3 separate regions of the Mus musculus genome follow, and all the other regions are reported to be linked to region 3. Evidence: microRNA targets listed by miRTarBase, many of them from high-throughput screens and not tested one by one. Region 3 holds a microRNA gene; each other region holds the end of a gene's coding sequence.
What was found. Region 3 holds the annotated microRNA mmu-miR-3083-5p (AGGCUGGGAAUAUUUCAGAGAU, at 3,840-3,861, opposite strand). A microRNA usually pairs through its seed, bases 2 to 8, with sites in the 3' UTR of a target mRNA and lowers its output. Matches are read on the target gene's strand: a 7mer-m8 pairs with bases 2 to 8, a 7mer-A1 pairs with bases 2 to 7 and ends in A, and an 8mer does both.

Region 1: the mRNA of Ncbp3 is a reported target of mmu-miR-3083-5p. Seed matches in the 3' UTR shown: 7mer-A1 at 3,450-3,456 and 7mer-A1 at 5,169-5,175.
Region 2: miRTarBase lists Cpox as a target of mmu-miR-3083-5p. Seed matches in the 3' UTR shown: 7mer-A1 at 1,708-1,714.

The regions. Positions count from the first base shown.
Region 1 is chr11:73,077,949-73,085,440 of GRCm38, forward strand. Ncbp3 (nuclear cap binding subunit 3) reads left to right here. Exons shown (of 13, transcript NM_025818.3): 12 at 1-68; 13 at 993-5,631. The coding sequence ends at 1,228. Among named protein-coding and RNA genes, the nearest start is that of Itgae, 8.9 kb to the right of the region's middle.
Region 2 is chr16:58,677,610-58,685,101 of GRCm38, forward strand. Cpox (coproporphyrinogen oxidase) reads left to right here. Exons shown (of 7, transcript NM_007757.2): 6 at 336-440; 7 at 1,061-2,782. The coding sequence ends at 1,148. Among named protein-coding and RNA genes, the nearest start is that of Cpox, 11 kb to the left of the region's middle.
Region 3 is chr17:26,944,254-26,951,745 of GRCm38, forward strand. Mir3083 (microRNA 3083) reads right to left here and starts at 3,866; the gene lies at 3,803-3,866. Syngap1 (synaptic Ras GTPase activating protein 1 homolog (rat)) reads left to right here. Exons shown (of 19, transcript NM_001281491.2): 2 at 380-501; 3 at 2,380-2,485. Gm51291 (predicted gene, 51291) reads left to right here and starts at 3,807; the gene lies at 3,807-3,863.

The DNA.
Region 1 (7,492 bases), not on the chromosome of region 3:
TAGTAGGCTAGGTGTTCCCAGGCAAGATGTTAAAGGCCTCTACTCTGATACTCGGGAGAGGAAATCAGGTGAGTAACACTTCACAGTGATGGAAGGGAAGGAGTGGAGACCAGTGGTTATAGCATAAGAAGTAGGTAGGTCTGTGTTTGTTCCCTCTTCAGTTAGCATGACTTCCTTTGTCTACATCAGCATCAGCACCATGCCTACAGGAAAGTTCAGGAAGGAGAAAGGAGAAGCTATACATCCTTGCTGCTTTTTAGTTTCACATTATTTAGTTTCTTTGTTCACACATATATCTAGTTTTTTTTTATGTAGCCTTTTTTTCTATAACTCTTCCATTTTGCTTTACTCTTCATAAGTAAATTAAACCTTTAATTATCTTGTAGTATATGTATATCACCACATTCTAAACACATGCTTCTTTGTAAGGTTTTAATAAAACACTTCTTTTGGGGGATTTTTTTTATGTTTTGCTTACATGTTTGTCTGTGTACTGTGTACATGTCTGGTGCCCTTGGAGGTGGGAAGAGGGCATTGGATCCCCTGGAAGTGGAGTTATGGACTGTTGTAAGGTACCATGTGGGTGTTGGAAACATAACCAGGTCCTCTGCAAGAACAAGTACGCTTAACCAATAAGGCCTTCAGCCAATACATAAACACACTTTAAAAATGTATAGCTGAAAACCTGAGAATTGCTCATAGTAAAACAGACCCGTTCAGTTTGCAGAATGTGAGAGTTGGCGGTTTCTTGGCAGACTGAGGGGTACACAGCCTGGGAGAGAGGCAAGTGTCTAGTTTGTGCCTGGTATGGGGACACCAGCCTTGAGCTGTGAGCATCTCCCATCGAGTCTCAGGCTGTCCACTTACAGACTGGCACCAAGCACCTCTCCCGATGTTTCCTGCAGAGCAGGTGTTGGCAGTGTCCTTACTTCCACAGAACTACTTGGTACTCGGCATCGACTGCCAACTGAAGTGTCTTCTCACCCCAACAGGTGGTTTGTGGACTCGCTTAGGATCTACACCCAAGACCAAAGAAAAGAACACGAAGAAAGTGGATCACAGGGCATCTGGTGCTGAGGAAGATGACTCGGAGCTTCAGAGAGCATGGGGTGCTCTGATCAAGGAGAAAGAAGAGTCTCGCCAGAAGAAGAGTCGGCTGGATAGCTTGCCTTCGCTCCAGATTGAAGTCAGCCGGGAAAGTAGCTCTGGTTCAGAGGCAGAGTCCTGATGCCCTGGCCTTGGCAACTGCCCTTAAATCTGACATTCTTACATAAGGTGGGGCGTGCAGTGGGAACCTCCCTTGCAGGAGCTGGCGCCCTTTCCTCCTACCTGCACCCTGAACACTTGCTGTCCTAGTAGGACAGCTTAAGAGTGTGATGAGTTTTGAAGGAAGGGTGTCTCTGTCTTGTGCTGCAGAGTTACAGTTCTGGGTCCTCAAGTCTTCCCCACCACCCCACAAGCTTTACCCTTGGAGTTAAAGGCAACCCTCCAGATTTTGTAGACATTTTCTTAATATTTTTAACATTGTGTCTTTTAAAAGCAATGTTTTACACAGTCATCCAAAGAGCCGAGAACTGAACTTCTCATTGTTGCCTTGGCCCTGACAGATCTTGCCAGCACCCTGTTCCAAGAAAAGTCAGTTCTCAGGTGCTTACTGGACAGTCTTTGAGGGGGAAGATGAGGGAAGCTGCCAGCTCAGCCTTCCAGGGCCTTAGTGTGGTGGCTAAGTCTCTCAGACCTGACCTGAGACCCTCCCGAGTAGATATGCTTGCAGCAGCAGTCAGCAGTGGCTTCCATTCCTCCCGGGGGGAGTCTTTTAGAGCCTTTTGCTGGCTGGTAGCCTGGTGTAAAGACCAAGTTCAGTGCTGTAGGACTTCTAGGGACAAACAACTGTGACTTCTGGATTTGGAGTTGATTTCTGTGCTTAGGGGTGGGGTCTTGGGTTGATGTTGAACAATTTTTAAGTCTGTATTATGTTTAAAAACTATTAATGACTTAAAAGTTTAAATTTTTAATTTTTATATGTGGATATTCCTCCTGTTGGCTAAGGGGAAGCTCAAGTGGTGTCTTTTGTGTTGTTAAATATACATTATATACTTTGGAAGAAGGCAAAGAAAGGAGTGTCATTATTTTGAATGGTACCAATTGTATGGTCTGTTGTACTTGAGTTCAACTTGCTTTGTGGCCACTGTAGGAAAGAAACTGCTGTCCATCTGTGATGGGCTCTTGTTTATTCCCACTTTTCTAGAAATGATACCCTGAGAATTCACTCTTTGTGTCTCTGACTTATTATTGAAGACTTATTCAAAACTAGCAAATAAGACAGTAGTTTCAGAAAATGTAAGTTTATGTTTATTCTCCTTTCAAATGATTTTACCATGGAAAGGGAGTAAGTAGATTATTTGGCTTCTCATCTGACTTTACTTTATAGTATTTAATACTGTATTGCTCTACAGGCTTAAAAGTGGTGTTTCACTTGAGTGCATAAGCATGCCTTTGGGATGTCAAGCTCTTCACCTGCTCGGCTTGTTCTGTGCCCAGTAGGTCACAGAGCACTTGACTTGTGGTTGAGCACGTGTCCCTTGGTGGCTGCCTACACTGTGAATGAACAGTGATGCACATGAAGAAGCAGAAGACTTCAGAACTAAGTCGTAACAAAACTGTATCATATGTATCATTTGGTTAGCAACCCCACCCCACCCCCATCTCCACCCTACCCCCAGAAAGATGGGAGCATATAACCAAAGTGGTTTGGCTTCTGAGGATCCTAGAAAAAGGTAGTTCTAATTTCTCTGCCAGTTCAGACCTAAGTCCTCCAAGGTTTCTAAGTTTATCTTGCCCTTTGTAGCTCACAGCTTACAGTCAGGTTCTTAGAGGTTCAGACTTTGGTAGAGTAAGAAGAAAAATGGCCTGAGAACAGAGACCTGGATGCCAACCAGGACTCTACACACTGGGCCTGAGCCTTGGTTTCCCCATGAAGCAAGGAAATGGTCTGGTGCAGAGATTCTGGCTTTGTTGATATCTCTCAGTGGTATTTTATTCTTGGAAGTTGTGGCTGCAGCATGTTTTTCTGTTGAGGTGGCCAAAGTGTCAGGGAACAAGGTGGCCATGAGATTGTGAACAGAGACTCACCCCATCCGTTTACAGGCTCCAGTTCTCCCAGTGTGTTGAAGATGTGCCTGTGGGGTCTAGAGCCCCAACCCATCCTCAGCTTTCTTATTGTTCTATCTGGCAACCCAGGCCCATTTGCCTAGGGTCTTTGAGCACTTGTCAACCTCCTGCTAGAGATGAGGGGAGGACTTTATGGAAGGTAGGCAGTATGTATTCAAAACTAACTCCTTGAGCTGACCAGGAAAGATGCCCTTGAGCAGCATTGCAGTTTTTACAGCACAGACAACCCAGAAACGTACATACTGCCTAAAGTGATGGTCTGCCCAGCATCTCTCTCTCCAGCCAGCTCTCAGAGCTGCCCAGAGCTTCAACACCTTGAACCCTATGTGCTTAGGAGTGACAGTAGTCAGGATAGCCCAGCAGGCAGCTGGGTATACTTTATTCAGGGCACTTTCTGTACATGTGGGGTTAGTCTTTATATGTAGGAGATTATTAAATGCCCTTTTGCTGCTTCATAATAATTGCAGATACCTCATCTTTGTTTCCTACTACTCTTCTTTGTAGAGGGGCCTGATGGCCTCTGGCCCTCCTCTATCATAATTCCATGATTCCTTCCCCTGCTTCTGTCTTTCCTTTCTGCGGCAGCTTCTCTCAACCCTCCCTCTTCATTCTACACATTGTAGTGGGGGCAAATTTTTACTTGAGAGATACGTACATAGTATGCAGTTTATCCTTGTACAGTGTACATTTGATTGTCGTCTATTTACAGAGCTGTGGAACCATTATCATCATCAGTTTTAGAACATATTTATCACCAGAAAAATCCTGTTCCCACTAGCAGTCCTCCTTCACCTCTCCTCAGACCTGGCAACTACTAATCTTTCTGTCCTTGTGGATTTGCCTATAACGGACCTTTCATAAATGTTATATGCGATGTGCAATGTGTCTGTTTACTTAGTTTTAAGGTTCATCTGTGCCATGGTATATATCATCATTTCAAGTAGTGAGTACCTCTCTCTCTCTCTCTCTCTTTCTCTCTCTCTCTGTGTGTGTGTGTGTGTGTGTGTGTGTGTGTGCGCGTGTGCGCTTAGACATTTTCATTGTGTGGCCCTGGCTGCCCTTAGAACAGGCTGGTCTTGAGTTCACAGAGGAAGCTCTGCTTCCCAGGTGCTGGGATTAAAGGTGTGTGGCACTGTGCCTGCCAGTGGGTTTGTTTTGTTTTGTCTTTTCTCTTCAGTTTTTTAAATTGTCTAAATATTTCATTACAGTGCATATAATGGGCGTTCTGTGATTTCTAGTCAGGACGATCATGAATAGGCTTCTGTATATATGTGTGTGCAACACCCCTTCATGTTCTCCTTCATGGACATGTGGGGGTTTTGGTGGTGGTGGAGGTGGGTTTTTGTTTGTTTGTTTGTTTTTGTTTTTGAGACAGGGTTTCCCTGTGTAACAAGCTCTGTCTGTCCTGGACTCAATTTGTAGACCAGGCTGGCCTCGAACTCACAGAGACCCTCCTGCCTCTGCTAGCCAAGTGCTGGGATTAAAGGGGTGCACCACCACACCCAGCGTGTTTTCATTCTTTTGTATAGGAATAGAATGGATGGATCGTAAGGCAGCTCTTACCTTTAGTCTTTGGAGGAATTGCCAAGCTGTGTTCCCATGGAGGATATCAGGATTCCAGTTTATCAAGTCTTCACCAATATTGTTTACTAATTTGAAGTGTGTTTCATTGTGTATGTGCTGTGTTTTATTTTGTGGCAGTGCAGGGGACCAGACCCAGGACTTGCAGATGTAGACAAGTATTGTACCACTGGGCTCCATCCACAGTCCCTTAGCTGGTTCTGAGTTGCAGTTTCCTAATAACTAGTGATGTTGGCCATTATGTCTTCCTCTTCCTCCTGTGTCTGTGTCTGTGGTTTTAAGATAGGGTTTCATGTGTTGGACAATATTTTTGTTTTGTCTTTTTTTTTTTTCAAAGATAGAATTTCTCAGGCTGGGGAAATAGGCTTACAACCAAAAATATAAGAGTTCGGTTCCTAGCACCCATAGCTGTCTCTCCAGCCACAAAAAAAAAAAAAAAGAAAAAGAATTTCTCTGTGTAGCCCTGGCTGTTCTGGAACTCCAGGCTAGCCTCAGAGTCAGAGATCTGCCTGCTACTGCCTCCTGAGTGCTGGGATTAAAGGCATGCACCACCACGCCTAGCTATGTTGGGCATATTTTCATGTATAACAAGATGAACTCTTAAGATATCAATCTGATCTTAACTATGCTTGTGCTTGAGACCTTTCCAGAACTTCATCATTGTTTCTGGAATAAAATTTCAAACTTCTGGGCTGGAGAGATGGCTCAGCGGTTAAGAGCATTGACTGGCTCTTCTGAAGGTCCCGAGTTCAAATCCCAGCAACCACATGGTGGCTCACAACCATCCATAATGAGATCTGATGCCCTCTTCTGGGGTGTCTGAAGACAGCTACAGTGTACTTACATATAATAAATAAATAAATAAATAAATAAATAAATAAATAAATCTTTAAAAAAAAAAAAATTTCAAACTTCTTTGATAGCCTATGGAGCTGTCAAGATATAGTCTCTGACAGTATCTGTACCTGTTCTCTTTTCTCCCTTACCCTCATGGCTACTAGTTCCTGTATCCCTCTTGATTTCACTAGCTTTCCAGACTGCACAGTGTATGCCTTCAGGTCCCGTTGCAGTTCTGCCTTCTTTATTTCTCTTATGATCAAGGTTTTAAGAGACAGTTGTCTACTTTGGTTTCCTTTTATTTTTTTATTTTATTTTATTTTATTTCATTTTATTTTGAGACAGGGTTTCTCTGGGTAGCCTTGGCTGTCCTGGAACTCAGTTTGTACACCAGGCTGGCCTAGAACTCAGAAATTCATCTGCCTCTGCCTCCCAAGTGCTGGGATTAAAGGTATGCGCCACCACGCCCGGCTTGGTTTCCTTTTATGCATGTCCCAGTATTGCCATAAAGGAATCTTAGCTGACTCCTGGGTTAGATCATAAGTCAATGCCCAAGGTAAAAATTGAGTAATCAAAATACCTCTTGGAAATCCCAAGGCAGGCGCCACATTGAAGGCTAGCATCATGAGGTTCTTGCAGTCAGTTCTTGCCTCTGTGGGAGGAGATCACTGCTTCTTTGGTTGAGTACTAGGTAAAGTAGTTGGCCCTGCAATTTAGAACCATGTCATTCAAATGGCCCCTTATTTTGGTGTCAGAACACACTCAGTGGGGTCACTTTTAAGAAGCTTGGGAACTCGGGCTATAGGAGCAGCAGCAGGACACAGGATGTCCAGCTATCCTGGGCTTACTGATGGGAGTACAGAGATAGTGTGGCTCCATCACCTTGCAACTGGCTTTTTTTTTTTTTTTTAAACTTTTCAGACGGGTGCTTCCTGTTTGATCCTGTGACTCGTATAATGCAAACCACATGCCCCGAGCCCAGCACACCTCGCTGTACTCTTACTTCCTATTCCTGGTTAATATGACTGCTAGCTTGTAAGCTCACGAGAGCAGGGACCATGTTTGGCTTGTGCATTGGGCCTTCTCCATGTTTACTACCATTCTGACCCAGCAGGTCCTCTGTGAGATTGCAAACCCCCAGCCAGAAGAGCCACTCCACCCTCTGAGGTCCCAGGCCTCTTGCAGGGCAGGCCACACTTTTCTGCTATGTATATGCAATGCCTTCTATTCATGTCTTGTTCTTGTTTTTCCTTCCAGCCTGTGAGCTCCTAGGGAGCAGGTGTCTTCATGTTTTCTCATTATCACTGAACCAGGCCAGTCTAGTCAGTGTAAGCAGTGCTTCGGAAGTATCTGCGAAGTGAATGAATTGTGACAACTCAGCTCGCACACCATCCCGTGCAGGCTTTTCTATTCTAGCTGAGCTCACCAGATGCACACGGAGAAGAGTATTCATTGGCACATACCATTTGCGCAGTAAGGAGCAGTTCTCATTAAGCAGGTCTCGGAAAACGTCAGCTGTTAATGATCTGCCAAACATCGAAGCTGGAGCTCATCCAGCCCTGGGAATGTTGCCCCAAGCTCAAGGACAGTTTTATTAGGGTTTAAAAGTAAAATACCAGGCAAGTTGTACATCCCAGCCGATGGTGAGAAGGAAGGAAACAAAAGGTCACACTGCCTGAGTTAAGCTGACTTTTGGACCTCAGCCACATCATGACCAGGAGGAGGTTTAAAGAAGGAATAAGAAAGTCTATAGTACTAGAAAGAGCGTGCCTGGGTCTGACCAGCATCTAAAGAAAAATGGATTAGAGTCCCGGAACTGTGGTCCCGCAGAGTTGTGAGCTAGGAACCCAACCCCAGCCCAGATCCACTACGAGAGCAGCAGTTGCTCTGAGCCATCTCTCCC
Region 2 (7,492 bases), not on the chromosome of region 3:
AACAATGCTGCTTCTTTCTTAATTGTTGTGCGTGCCTGGTCCCAATTTGTGTTTGCACTGTTTATTCATGGGGAGAACATAACCTTGCTGATTTGTGGTTGCTCTGTGTTGGGCTCTGTGTTGGGCACAATCTGCATCCAATTGTTTGGCGGGTAGAATGCCCTTTTATTTACGCTTTCCAGAGGAGAGGGCTCGCTGGGCTGTGTAAGCTGTGTGCTGTGTGTAAGCTAGTTGGTATGAGATATGGGGAGAAGGGCCACTCTTCGTTTTCCTTAAGGATTTCTAGAAAGTTTCGCTCAACACACCTTTACGACTATCTGGTGTCTTTCTGACAGGTATGTGGAGTTTAATCTGTTGTATGATCGGGGCACCAAGTTTGGCCTCTTTACTCCAGGATCCAGGATCGAAAGTATCTTGATGTCTTTACCTCTAACAGCAAGGTAAGAAGCTGATTTGTCATAGTAACCCTTGACATAGTAACTCTGTCATAGTAACTCAGTGTCCTATAGTGAGTAACTCCTGTCATAGTAACTTCCTGTGCCCCATGGAATCTGCACATTAGCCTTGACAGGGTGTTACCTAATACTTCATTTATGTTTGTCTGATTTTTATAAGAAAACTGTGAGAGAATAAAGCCCAGATTGGATTCTGTAAGAAGTGACAGGATGTGTGTCCTATGCGCTTTGTATCTGAGGATGTGGAGAGAGCAAGTGGGAAGCTGAGTCTGGCCTTTCCTCACAGCCTTCTTTCTAGAAAGATACATTTGTAGTGTAAAACTTAAGCTACCTGTGTACTACCCAAGGCTCTATACTTTATGAAACCCAAGTTTGTAATGAAAGGATCTTAGTATTAACCCAGATATTCCTAAGACTTATTAAGAAATTTACTCTCTTAAGTAGCTGATTTTTTTATATATATATAGTAGAGACACAGTAGTCACAGTGGGGTGGAGGAACTATGCATTGTTTTTACTCTTAGGGTTTTATTCTCCATTAGTTATGTATGTCATTTATTGTTATTTTGTTTGCTTTTTTTTTTGTTTCGTTTTGGACATGCGTAGATGGGAGTACATGCATTCTCCCCCAGAGAATTCCAAAGAAGCTGAAATTCTGGAAGTGTTGCGCCATCCAAAGGACTGGGTGCACTGATGCATCAGACAGAGCCTTGCTCCAGGGCCTGGTGGACACAGGTGGTGTCTTCGTGCACTGTGGCCACTGTGTGGCAGGCAGTGTCTTCCGTGCCTTACTGTCCCCGCCTTCTTCACCCTGGGCACCCCGTCTGTGGCAGGCGGTTTTGATCTTTTCCAGTGCTGTGGGAGGAGGTGGCTCAGAGGTGGGTGGGGATGTCAAACTGTCAGATTCCTTGTCTGTGACATCCATTTGTACTTTTAGAATAATTTTCTGTGACCAGTCAGTTTGACATTGTGTTTCCAGGTCTTTGAGATAAGGGAATGTAAATACTATGATAGGTACCAGGAAACTCTTCATTTTATATGTTGCTTGAAGTTTTAGTTTTTGCTACAGAAGTTTATCAGGGAATACATTTTATCTTCATTAGTTCAGTCAGGATGCCCTTCTTGGGAACTTTGGAATGCAATTTGAAGCCAGTCCGTGGTGATGTTTGCCTTTAATCTCAGTATTCAGGAAGCAGAGGCTGGTGGATCTCTGTGATTTTGAGGCCAGGCTATTCTACAAAGGGAGTTCTAGTCCAGCCAGGGCTACACAGAGAAACCCTGTCTTGAAAAAGAACCAACCCCCCCCCCCAAAAAAAAAAACGAAAAAAAGAAAGAAAGGAAGAAAGAAAGAAAGCAATTTGAAGAAACATGTTTTTCTTTGTTGCTTTTGAAGTTTCTTTGACGTAATTTTCATGTATCTTTCTCTATATTCCAGAATATTATAAAAAAATACTCATTTTTTTTTTAAAGATAGCTATTTAAGAGCTCTGGAAATTTTCTTTAGTCAGTTTTTGTATTATATAATGATGACCTAGTTTACAACTGCAGATGGCATTATTATTATTTAAATAAGTGATATCTTCAGTGGTAAGGTTTTTGTGAGATCATAATTAGCTAACATTAGGATTCTATGTAATTTTGAAAGTGAAAGCTTATATCCCTGGATTCTGATACTTAAAAGTTTTATATTTTAGAGACTTAGATATGGGAGATTAGCCTAAGGACAAATGAAACACATTTTTTTTCTCTTTAATTAAAGAGAATGGAGTCTAACCTGGGCATTTTATATTTTTTATTTAAAAAATGGGCCAATAGAAATTGTGTTACTTTTTAAATTAGAGATTCTTCAACTTTTATCTTTTCTTTTAAAAGTCACAGCAGATTTCTTTTTCTTTCTTTTTTTTTAAAAATTAGGTATTTTCTTTATTTACATTTCAAATGCTTTCCCAAAAGTCCCCCATACCCCCCCCCCACTCCCCTACCCACCCACTCCCACTTCTTGGCCCTGGCGTTCCCCCGTACTGGGGCATATAAAGTTTGCAAGACCAAGGGGCCTCTCTTCCCAATGATGGCCGACTAGGTCATCTTCTGCTACATATGCAGCCGATTTCTTAATGTGTGGTTTACTTGTCTAAATAATAGTCTGACTGCGCTATGTTACTTGATTTATAATATATTGAATTTGTAAAGAACAATATTTAAATATTATCCTGGAATATGTTGGATGTATGTGATTGTGTTTGCCACTTTTAGGGTAAGAAAATCTACAGATTCTTCAACATGTCTTACATAGATTCAGCTAATAAATTTTATTATAACATAAGAAAAGTATTTGTTTCCTTTATTGTGATAACTTAGTACAAATATTTCTCGGTATAGTAGTAGTTCTTTATTACTAGATATTTTACCCAAGAGAGAGATCCATTTTTTCATTTTATTTTCTTAGCCATTTTACTAAAAATAGTTAAAATTAAAAACTCAAGTGCAGATTAGCAGGTAAATGGATAAACAGTTTGTGACTTATGCAGACATTAAAACTCAGCAACAGAAAGGAGTACTGCCTGAGAAATGCTAGTGTGCAAGGCATCAGGAAGATGTCAGAAAAGTGCCTGCTGTCCAATGTCACCTGTGAAGACTTCACCAGGGAAGCAGTCAGCGGCTGCAGGTGGGGCACTAAGGTGTTACCTGTTCTGTGGCTGAGGTGACAAAGGTGATTATACTCTGTACATTTATCAAATTCCCTTGAACTCAGCATTACAACATCAGAGAATTTTCTTATATCTGTAGGTAACCTTTCAGTAAAGAAAGACATAAGAACAGATGTTCACATACCCCTGTCTGGATACCTTTTAAAGAGCTAAAAATGTCAAGCTGAGCATATGGTTTAATGGCAGAGCCTGTCTAGCATGCATGAAGTCCTGAATTTTATTCCCAGAACTGGGGTGGTGGTGGTGGTGGTGGATCACAAAGATCCCTGGCTGATTTAATTGTATTTAAGGCTTGTAGGTGTTAGACACAGACACAGATGAAGTTTTAAAATCCTACCACCTTTGTTTGGATTCTTCAGTATCCACTCTGAACTCTGTCTGGAAGACCAGGAACAGATGTAAACCTGAAGAACATTCTTTTTTTTTTTTTTTTTTTTTCATTTGCTACACACACACACACACACAGTTGCTTCAGGCACACCAGAAGAGGGCATTGGATCCCATTACAGGTGGTTGTGAGCCACCATGTGGTTGCTGGGATTTGAACTCAGGACCTTAGGAAGAGCAGTCAGTGCTCTTAATCGCTGAGACATCTCTCTAGCCCTATTCTTCAAAATTAATTGCTCTTTCAAAATCTTATTGACATCTGTTCTGAGTTTACAAGGTGAAGGTACACCCCCATGTGGTATAAACACCTAACTCCTGTTGTCTGACACAGGCGTGTTGTTGGTTATAAGGGTATATCAGGCAAGATATACATACACAGGGACACGTATATAACTGCCATCCTACTACTGCACTGCGCTTGCTTAGATTAGTCGGATTTCTTTTACTGTAATGGAATACCAAAGGCTAGGTATTTCATAAGGAAAGGTTTAGGTTGTCCTTCTGGATGCTGAAAATTGAGAATCAGGCAGCTCCATCAGTTTGGCCTTTTAACGGGGCCTTTTTGGCTGTTTCACAATGTGTCAGAGAAGAGAGAAGTGGCCATCTACAGTATAAGCCAAGCAGGTGCAGGGGATGTCCTTTGTATCATTCTCATGACAACTGACTTCTGAGGAATCGTCATTTATCCCTTCTCAGAACAGTGTATCTGGTGACCTAACTCCCTCACATTAATCTGGATCTCTTCAAGTTTCCACCATCTTGAAAAACCCACAGAGAGGACCAAATCTGCATCGTGTGAACTTCCAGGAGTCAAACAACAATGGTCAACTAAGTGTAATACTTTGACATGCCCAGATCTGAGCCAAATAATGCGTTTCATTAGGACACAATCTTTCATGGGTCTTTTGTTATATTTTAACGAGATATACGTTACTTGAAAGTTTGAAACTGTGTGAGGAGCCTTGCCTGGGTAACTCAAAGTCCCCTCCATATTAGACAGTAGGGCGTGGTGCCTCCTGGTAGCTCAGCACACCCACCATGGGACAAGAGGGAAGTGTCATGTCTTGTGTTCTGGTCTAACCTCTGAAGTTCTGTGTTGTTATGTGTTCTTCTGGTTCCCACAGCGGAGGGCAGGGGGCGCAGAATTATTCCCTAAAGCTTGCTTTGCCTCTAGTCACTCTGGTCCTTCAGAATTGTTTATCTAGATCCCTTGACACTTCCATCCTGAATAGTCAAAGCAAGTCCTATAGACAATTCTAAGTTATCCTGACGTTGAAACCAGTCCATTATTCGGCCCTTGTTGATGTTGGCCTCTCGTCCTTTTTCTCCTGTGCACTTTGCCTTCAGACTGTCTTATGAGCATCCTCTCAGTTGTGTCCCCTCTGGTCTTTTGGTACTTGCTGTCTTTGCTCGGACTGTTTCACACTTTGTCATATCTCTAAGAATCCTGCCCTGGAAATAGTCTTATCTTGTGCAACATATTTCTTATTTTTATTATTACTGTCATTACAGTAGTCATTCGATGTAAATTTCATTATAAACAAATTGTGTTAGATGTGGTTTATTCACATTACTTAGGAGGACCCTGTTAATCCTTTGTTTACAACTGTTTTTGCAGAATATTTTGATATCAAACCTAATACTGTATGTGATTCCTAATCCATGAAAGCAGAGTTCCAAGGGTGTATCTAGAAAAGTCCATTTAAAAATTGTGTTCCCCACCATAAATACTAGCTAGGTGTTTGAAAGCCCGCATTTTAAAATTTAGTGCCTCCCAAAGAAATATAGAAGGTCTAACTTCATAATAACCCTTAACCAGGACACTTAAGTTAGTGAGCCTAGGGCTTACAAATGCTTGACTAATCCTCCTGCGTTCCTGGAGTCCCAGTCACAATAGAGAACCTCACAGACCAGTTTCTATGAGCGAGGTGTGCCAGCAGAGCAAGGTCATTAAACCACATTCCAAGTTCAAGTCTACACGTTAAGCTCATTCAGCTGGTATTCTGAACTCTCCCCTGCAGTCTCGTATCTATTTCACACTTGAGAAACACGTTCCTCAGGGTCCCCAGTGAAGGAGCTAGAGAAAGGACCCAAGGCGTTGAAGGGGTTTACAACTCCATAGGAGGAACAACAATATGAACTAACCAGTACCCCTAGAGCTCACAGGGACTAAAGCATCAACCAAAGAAAACACATGGTGGGACTCATGGCTCCAGCTACATACGCAGCAGAGGATGGCCTAGTTAGTCATCAGTGGGAGGAGAGACCCTTGGTCCTATGAAGCTCTATGCCCCAGTGTAGGGGAATGCCAGGGCCAGAAAGGGGGAGTGAGTGGATTGGTGAGCAGGGGAAGGAGGTAGGGGATAGGGGGGGTTGTAGGGGAAACCAAGAAAGGCGATAACATTTGAAATGTAAATAAAGGATATATATATATGTTCCTCCCAGAGCTTCCAGGGACTAAACCACCAACCAAAGAGTACACATGGAGGGACCCATGGCTCCAGCTAAATATGTAGCAGAGGATGGCCTTGTTGGTCATCAATGGGAGGAAAAGCTCTTGGTTCTGTGAAGGCTTGATACCCCAGTGTAGGGGAATGCCAGGGGGGGGGGGAGGTGGGAGTGGGTGGATGGGGGAACACCCTTATAGAAGCAGGGAGAGGGGATAGGGGGTTCTGGAGGGGAGAGGGGAAACTGGGAAAGGGCATAACATTTGAAATGTAAATAAAGAAAATATCCAATAATTAAAAAAACACGTTTTAACACACAATTTGTCACGATCTAAGCCACCGTATTCTCAATAAGTTACCACAAAGCTGGCCATAGGATGAGAGTTGCCACACTACCCTGTCATAGGTAATTTGCTTATGAAGTGGTTGGTAAGGCCCCCAACTAAAAAGTTCATTTTAGTACACACACACACACACACACACACACACACACACACACACACACACACTTTTTTTTTTTTTTGAGACACGGTTTCTCTGTGTAGCCTGGCTGTCTTGGAACTCTGTAGGCTAAATTGACCTTGAATTCAGAGATCAGCCTGCCTCTGCCTCCTGAGTACTGGGATTAAAGGCACAGGCCACCATCATCTGGCATGAAAACACATATATAAATTAGTCTTCATGGCAATTTTTCCATGTTCAGGTGTGACTAAGGTCACTTCCAGTTTTCAGATGGGTAAGGCAGAAAGCCCTTTACATGATCTGTTCCATCTGGGATGTACATCCTGCTAACAACACATATAATATGTGAATCCACCCAGCTTATCAAATTCTTGAAGTTCTGTTGTGAAAATAATTGGGTCAATAAATATCCTTGCTGGGATAGTGATGTATGCCTTTAATCCCAGTGCTTGAGTGGCAGGGGCTGGGGCTGGGGCAGGGGCAGAGGCAGAAAGGCAGATCTATGAGTTCAGGTTGGCCTGGTCTACAGAGCAAGTTCCTGGACATTGAGAAACCATGTCTCAAAACAAAGGATTGGAGAGATGGCTCAGTGGTTAAGAGTACTGGCTGCTCTCTTAGACATCCTGAGTTCCATTCCCAGCAACCACATGGTGGCTCACAATCATCTATAAAAGGATCTGATGCCCTCTTCTGGCACACAGGTATACAAGCAGATAGAGCACTCATCCATTAAATAAATATACCTTAAAGAAAACAAAACCAACCAAACAAACAAAACAAAAAAATTCCAATGCATGCCCCCCACCAAAACCAACAGCTCCACCAACCAAAAACCCAACCAGCCAATAAATAAATATCCTTTAAAATATTTTAATTAGTATCTCCAGCAATACAACTCGGCAGCTTCTACTCAAGGTAGTTTTTATTATCTTCCTCTTTTATGCTATTCAACATGAAGGGATACTTTAAAAGAATATATTTTGGGGTTGGAGAGACAGCTCAGCAGGTAGAACACTGGCTGCTTTTCCTGATGA
Region 3 (7,492 bases):
GGGTACCTCATATTCTCCTAAATATGTGAGGCCGCATCCATTGTAAGCAGCTTATTAATGCCCTTCCTCTCTGTGTCTTTTGCCAGTTTCATAAATCTCTACCCCTCAACACTAGTGAACAGGCCGAGTTTTCCCCCTTCTACTGCCCCTAGTAAAGTCCCTCTCTGTCATGTGACTAATTCTCATCTTTGAAGCCACGCTCATCCCCTTCCTGGAACCTCCCATGATGCCACTCAGCATGAAGGACCATCCCCCGACCCAAGACCTCTCCAGGCGGGTGGTGCCCCTTTTCCCTCTCTGCAGACTCTCCTTCCCACTTTAGGTTTCTACACCCAGCGTATAGACCCTCCCTCACTGTCTGTGTGTCTCTGTCCCCCAGATGTACGGGGACCCCCTATGCACCGAACCCAATACGTTCATTCCCCGTACGATCGTCCTGGCTGGAACCCTCGGTTCTGCATCATCTCGGGGAACCAGCTGCTCATGCTGGATGAGGATGAGGTGAGCGGGGTGAGGAGGAGGTGGGGCAAGCGGAGAAGACTGACCACGGAGAGAGGACGATGGGGAGAGTCCTCTTCAGTGAGCGGGAGAGAGAGAGAGAGAGAGCCCTAAGAACAGGAAGGAAAAGAGACAGGAGGTGGGAGGAGGGCGGCCATTGGGGTTGTTGTACACAGCCAAGGTGTTAAGAAGATAGACAACCTTTCTTTGACTTCCACTAGAAGGTCTTTGAGGCCATTGGAAGTGCTGCGGAGGAGCTATGGTTCTGAAGTCGTGAGGGTGCCTACTGATTTCACCCTATCCATATTATGGGGGAAGGAAAGTGAAGAGCTTAAAGCAAGTGAGGAAGGGGGGCCTTCCTTCCTCCAAAGGGGTCCTCAGCTTTCTCCTCCCCGCCTCTCCTAGCTCTTCATCACAGGGCACAGTGCAGGCTAAGACTAGGCGATCCTGAGGAAAGTCAGGAGAAGTGGGAGCGGCTGGAGGGACTGACAGACCACAGGGGTCACTGGATTTTGGCATGAATGGAAACAAAAATGGTGTGAGCTTCAGACTAGGTTTCCTTCTGCCTCTACAGGGAAGGTTGGGTTTCAGGAGAGGACATGGAAGGAAGAGGTAGACAACTGTAGTGTGGGGACCTGTGCACAGGAGCAGGACTTGGACTAGCCAGAGTGAGGAGGTGGAATGGCCAGGGCAGGGCGTCTGGAAGGAGATGGTTAGTGGTCATGTGAGGTCTAAGAGTCTAAAGGGTGTTGGTTCCATAGTAGGAATGGGCCCAATTCTGAAGGGTGAGGCCCCCATTTGTGATTTGGGGAGCCATCTTCAGAGAGTGTAGGGTGCCCCAGTAGAGGCAATGAGAGTTGTGCCTAAACACTGTGGGGGCTGGGCTGGATTTGGGGCTAACCAGGGTGTAGAGGAGCCTTGAAGTCAGGTGAAAATGTGGACAGAGAATGTCCAGATCATGAACTACAAGTGTCTGACAGGGAGCATGGTAATTGGCCGCAGGAGAGGTGGCCTGGTGGACCTAAGTTTGGAATACTGGAAGGCCTTTGAGTGATTTGCTATTGGTCATCAGCCTTGACTAAGGATTTGAAGTCCATTGGGTGGTCTGGGAAAAAGAGCCGATAGGAGTGGGAAGTGCAGCAGTGAGAAGGAAGGAATCAGACATGGAGACAGGGGACCCACTAGCCACCCGAGGCCAACAGGAATAGCCTGTCTGGTAGGAAGGTGGGAGTGGGAAGGCGAAGATGGAGCTGGAAGAATGAAGGCCCTTGGGAGCTAGAATTGGGCGGATGGTGGGGCTGGGGCCTCGTGGGAGTCTAGCTTCTGGTAGGGGTGGAGGTTAGGATGACGACTCCCAGGGGGAGCTGAGGTGAGGCCTAGGGAAAGGTAGAGCTGAGGGGAAGAGGGTAAAGGAAGAAGATGCAAAGGGGGGTGGGGGGAGGTGACCAGGCCTTTTTGGGGGAGGGGAGGTTGGGTCCCAGTCTGGCCGCAAGCCGGGCTGTGGGAGGGAGACAAGCTGTGGAACTGATTATAAATGCAGCTGTGACAAGCTTGAGAGAGAGAAGGGGGCGAGGAAGGTAGGAGGTTGGGAGGGAAGCGGGGGAAAATGGACGAACTGAAGGTCACAGGGAAACCAGACTCAGGAGGTAGCTAACTCCTGTGGATTTGCTGGAAGCGCTAGTGGGGTTTGGGAGAATTCTCTAAACTGTTTGAAGAGAAATGGAGGGAGAGCAGGGAAACGAGAAGTCCCCTCACCAGGGCCAAGGGAAATGGGCAGGGGTGGAAGGGGCAGGTGGGCTGGCAAGGGGCCGGCCTTCCATGAAAGGGGAAAGGAGGGATGGCGCAGGCCCGTGAGGTCTGACACACTCCCCAATCCCCTAGATACACCCCCTTCTGATCCGCGACCGGAGGAGCGAGTCCAGCCGAAACAAACTGCTGAGACGCACCGTCTCTGTGCCAGTGGAGGGGCGGCCCCACGGCGAGCATGGTACGGCGGCCGAGCAGGCTCGTGCCCCGGACAGTCTCGGGGAGCGCGGGCGGGGGCGGAGAGCAGCCGTGATCCCGATCCCGATCCCGAGGACAGGGCGCCCTCGTCCGGGCTGCCGGGCTGCGCGGGGTACCGGGGCTGTTGGTGAGCGGCCCCCGCGCGTCCATACACTGCTTAGCTTTGCTCCCCTTTCCTCTCCAGCAGTGAAGTTTGACTGTTTCCCTGGTGCTTGTAAAAATAATCTGCTTAGATCTTTAGTCTCCTGTCTGTGCTCCTGGCCCAGGCCCTCGCATCCTCCTTCTGAGAACTTGGAATGACCTATTCCCTGCCCTCCCCCAGACCCGAGTCCCGCTCGCAAGCTCCCATCTTTTTCCAGATCTTCAGGCCTGTGGCCTTTCCTTCATCTTTCCCCCTCAATTGATTCCGTTTTCTGCAGTCGTATCACTCCCTATTTTCTTGATTTTCCCCATTCTCATTTTCCATTTCCCCTTGATCCCCGTGTTCCTCCCCTCTGCTCTGGGAACTCCGTCAGACCCCCATCTCCTCACTGTCTCTCCAACTCTCTCCCTCTCTCCATCTGTCTCTTCCCCTTCCTCCTCCCTTCTGCCCCCCACCCCCCTCTTTAGTCATTTAAAAAAAGATTTTTGTCTTCCTCTGAGAAGTTCGCTTAAAAGGTTTCCATGGGAACAGTGAGGGGAGATGAAGGCAGAGAACAGGGATCTGCAGCCAAGGTGCAGAGAGACGCCCTCAGTCCCCGGAAGCCCCCTGCCACTGCCCAGTTCCTCAGCATTTCTCTTCCATGACGCCCACCCAACCCCATGAGACCCCTTTATCCCACCATTTCTTCCTCCCCAGGGTTACAGGCTTCCTTAGAGAACCAGAAGCCCCTGTTATCCAGCCAGCTGCCTGCTGATAGGCCTAGGCCTCACTGCCCTTGGGGGCCAGCTTTGGCACCCCAGGCTGGTGGTCAGGGATGTATGTCACTGTCATGGAAACTGACATGAGGGTGTAGGTAGCACGCTGAGGCTAACCAGGAGGCCGCTGTGGTGAAGAGTGTATAGAGAATGGGTGATGTCTGTCTGTCGAGTCCATGTCAGGCATGTTTTTTGTTTGTGCAGTGTGTACCTGTGTGCACTGGAATGGTAACATGCTCACAGAGCGTGTTTGTCATGTGTCCTGCTGTTGGCAGTTGGCCGCTCTGCCCACACAGTTCTGTTTCCTTAGAGTCCTCAGAGTGCTGAGGCCTTTGGTGTGGGTCTCCTGTGTTTAGGGTGAAGTTAAGGTGGCCTGTAAAGGTTACTGACTGTATTGGGGCTTAGTAAAGGCTGGGAATGTTTCGGAGATATACATATATATCTCTGAAATATTCCCAGCCTTTACTTTATATATATATATATATATATATATATATATATATATATATATATATATATATATATATAGGCAGGGTTTATTAGAAGTTAGTAGGTGGTGAGTGTTTGGAATCTTCTGAGGAAAATAGAATGTGTAAAGGGCATGGAGGATGTGCAGGGGACATAAAGGGTTTTGGGATTGGGGGGGGGGGCTCCACTTTGCAAAGGTGTTTGCTGAGGCTGTGGACGCTCCAGCCCGGGAGAGGTCGCCGGACCTTTGAGGGCATTGGAATCTAGGGCTCCTCCTCTGCTGGGTGGAGCTGCAAACCCTCACTCCCTTCAAGGGTTTCTAGCTCTCTCTTTCTCTCTCTTTTTGGGGGTGGGGGTCCTGTTCACGAGGCGATGATGGGAGGCCTAGTTGGTTTTGGGGGTCCCTCTGTCCCCCTCCCCCGTCTCTCTCGCGCTGTCTCCGGGCGACGGGGCTCGTGACAGAGGCGGCCACGGCAGCAGCGGTCGCCTAGCAACGGCGGCGGGGCCCGGGCAACGGCGGCAGCGGCGGGAGCGGCGGCGGAGGGAGCCGTTCCCGCGGCTGTCACCGCGCGGCCGTCCAGGCCGTCCCGGGCCCCGCCACCGCCCCACCGCGTCGGGCGGCGCGAGCCGGGCCGCCGCCCCCTCTCCCTCCGCACCCGCCCCTCCCCCGCGCAGAGCGGGCCCCTCCCCCATCGGGGGACACCCTCGACCCCCCGGGGGGCGGTGCGAGGTAAGGGCGGGGCCGGGCGGACGAAGCGCGCGCGTGGGGGGCTGCGCGCGTGGGGCGGGGGCGCGCGTGTGCGTGGGTACGGGAGGGGCCTGGGGAGGCCGCGGTGGCGGCGGCGGCGGCGGCAGCTGCTCCCTCCGCATGTTCTCGCTGCATCTTCCGAGTGGGGGGAGTTATGGTAACCGGAGCGGGGGGGGGGGGCAGTAGAGGTCGGGAGGGAGGGGGTCTGGGCAGCTTCCTGCTTGTGACCGCGCGTGGGGGCGGCTGGTGTGAGGGGGTCTTGGAGCCCTACTGGAGGGCCAGCCCTGGTGTTTGCGTATGTGATCTTGACCGTGGTTGTGCCCCTGTGTGTCGGTGCATGTGCACATGGGGCCCAAATCCTCTTGCACACGTGTAGCCAGCACTGTGCAGGTATGTCCTGTCTTGCCCCGCCTCTGCCAGTTAACAGCCTGAGGGCCTGTGGGGCCAGCCACCGGTTTATGGGGCAGTCTGTGGACATACTAATTCATGTCACCTCTGACCCTGAGTGTGCATGTCCCCGGTTGAGGTTGATGTGTAGGAATGTGTGGCTGGCCAAATGAGAATTTTCAGTGTCCCTGGTGGCAGGTGTGTGTCTTTGCATGTGTGTTCCAACACTGGCCTGAGAATCTGTGTCAGTCCCAGCATGGGTGTCCAGGGCGTGTCTGGATGTGGGTGGTGGTATGCCAGTGTTCCGGTGGTGAGGACAAAGTGTGTGAATGGTTCCTTACAGTCTGACTGCATGAAACACCTTTGGACTAGGCAGATATGAGCCTCTCTGCCTGGCCCCTAGATGGGGACAGAAAAGCTTGAAGGGAAAGAAGTGAAGGGGTAGAGGGAAGTAAGGATGAGAGTCACCAAGAGGAGGAGAGCAAAGAGCAAGGGAGAGAGAATGTCTGGAGAATGGGAATCTAAGAGCACTGAGCTGGACTTAGAGAAAAGAGGGCAGAGGACAGGGAAGTTGGGAGGTAGCTGAAGAGCCAGGCCTCTCTGTGGAGCATTCTGAGAGGGTGGAGAGAAGTGGATGCAGGAGGGCCTAGGCTGCCCCGTCTGTAGGAGGCTATCCAGTCACAGAGGCTGCTTCCCAGTGAGGCCTGTCACCACGGAGACTGCAGAGCGTGCCCTCCCCCCAGGTTCTCTGCTCCCTCTCTAGCCCAGCTCCTCATCTTCCTCTGGCACCCTCTCTCCCTGGCTCCCTTTGAGAGCTGTCAGCTGGATATGGAGAAGAAAGGCTACACGTAGGGTAGGGATTTGGGGGATTGGAGGGTAGGAGAAATGTTTGTGGGTGATGTCAAGATTAGAGACATTGGAGAGGCGGAGTCCAAGCCCTTGCTCTGTGTGTGTGTGTGTGTGTGTGTGTGTGTGTGTGTGTGTGTGTGTGCAGGGTGTGTACTGTGTGGGTGTATGCACAATGCCTATGTTACGGGTCTGTGTAGGTGGCTGTTGTGTGTGTGCTTGAGTGTATCTATCATGCAGGGATGGGACATAGAGACCCAGCATGGCAGTGTGTGCTTTTCAGGTTTGCTGTGTGTACATGGCTGTGTGCTTTTCTCTGTCTATGTCACCGCAGGCAGCACTAATGACAGGACACCCCATGTTCCTGTCAGTCTGCCCTCTCCTGTGCTTTTTGCCTCGTTCTTGTGTCAGAGTCCTTGGGAACATGTGTGTGGCCTCCATGCACCTATGACTTATTTTTGAGGTCCTGATATGGTGTGTCTTTCCTCCAGGAACTGTACAAAGCAATTAGCTGATTTTGCCCCCTCTGCAAATGCTTGTAGTTCCAAAAGAAGGTTTTAGTGGATTTAAACTTAAGGCCTCTATGCCTTTATTAGAGATGCATGTGTGTGAAAATAATGGCTGACCCAGGTTCCCTGGAGTGAGAGTAAGGCAGCCATACCTGAGAGATGCAGAAGAGTGGATGAGGAGGGAGCCATGCGGGGCTCTGGGTGACACAAGGCTCACTAACACATTTGCTCCTCATTTTTTTGTTTTATTTGTTCTGTTTTCCTGGTAGCCATCACAGATGCTGGTGATTAGAGTCATGGAAAAGCTAGAAGAAAGCTGGGGGGGGGGGTGTTGAGAGGAGGGAGCTGTCCCGAGTCAATGAATGTGTTTGTACTGTTAATGTGAAGGATGAGTGTTTGTGCTTTATCTGACCATGGTCAGGATGTATGTGTACACGGTGCAGGGGCGACCCAGGGGGCTACAGCCTACTTAAGCATGGGTCTCAGGGTTTACATGTCCATTTATGTAGGGTACTGCCCACATGATGGCCGCAGAGTCCACTCCAGCAGTTCTCATGTGGCTGTCTGAGTTCAAGTGTGTCTACCCCATGGCAGTGCTCACAAATGTCTAGGCATGTGGGGGTCCCCATGCTCAAGGCTGTCTGTACGTCTCCCCGAAGCACATACTTTCCTATTATTTCTCCTAATGCGGCTGTGATATACATGGTTGCTGTATTTTTGTGCTCTACACACGATTCCTGGGAGACTGAGAGGGTTCTCGTCTCGGGATCCAGACTTGCTTGTGTGTGCAAACCTGAATCTGTCCGTAAAAGGAGCAGGGAAGGACCGGCTCTGAGGCAGTGGGCAGTCTGGAAGCAGACATGAAAATGTAGTGGGGTTTTCACTGTTTTCTTCTGGAACCTAGCGGGTTAACAAGCCGTTCTTCCGGTCGCACCCCCCCCCCCCAGCCTGTAGCTTCTTGTTGCCATGGAGATGGTGGCCCCGCCCCTGATGCAGCACCAGCCCCCCCATTGGCTGCAGTGGTGACTGTGGGGCTGAGGGGGGAGCCCAGGCCTGGGCAGCCATTCTGGAGCTGGAGCCGGAGCTTGGCATCCCCCCACTTTCATTCTCCTTCAGCCCTTCGGCCCCTCCAAAT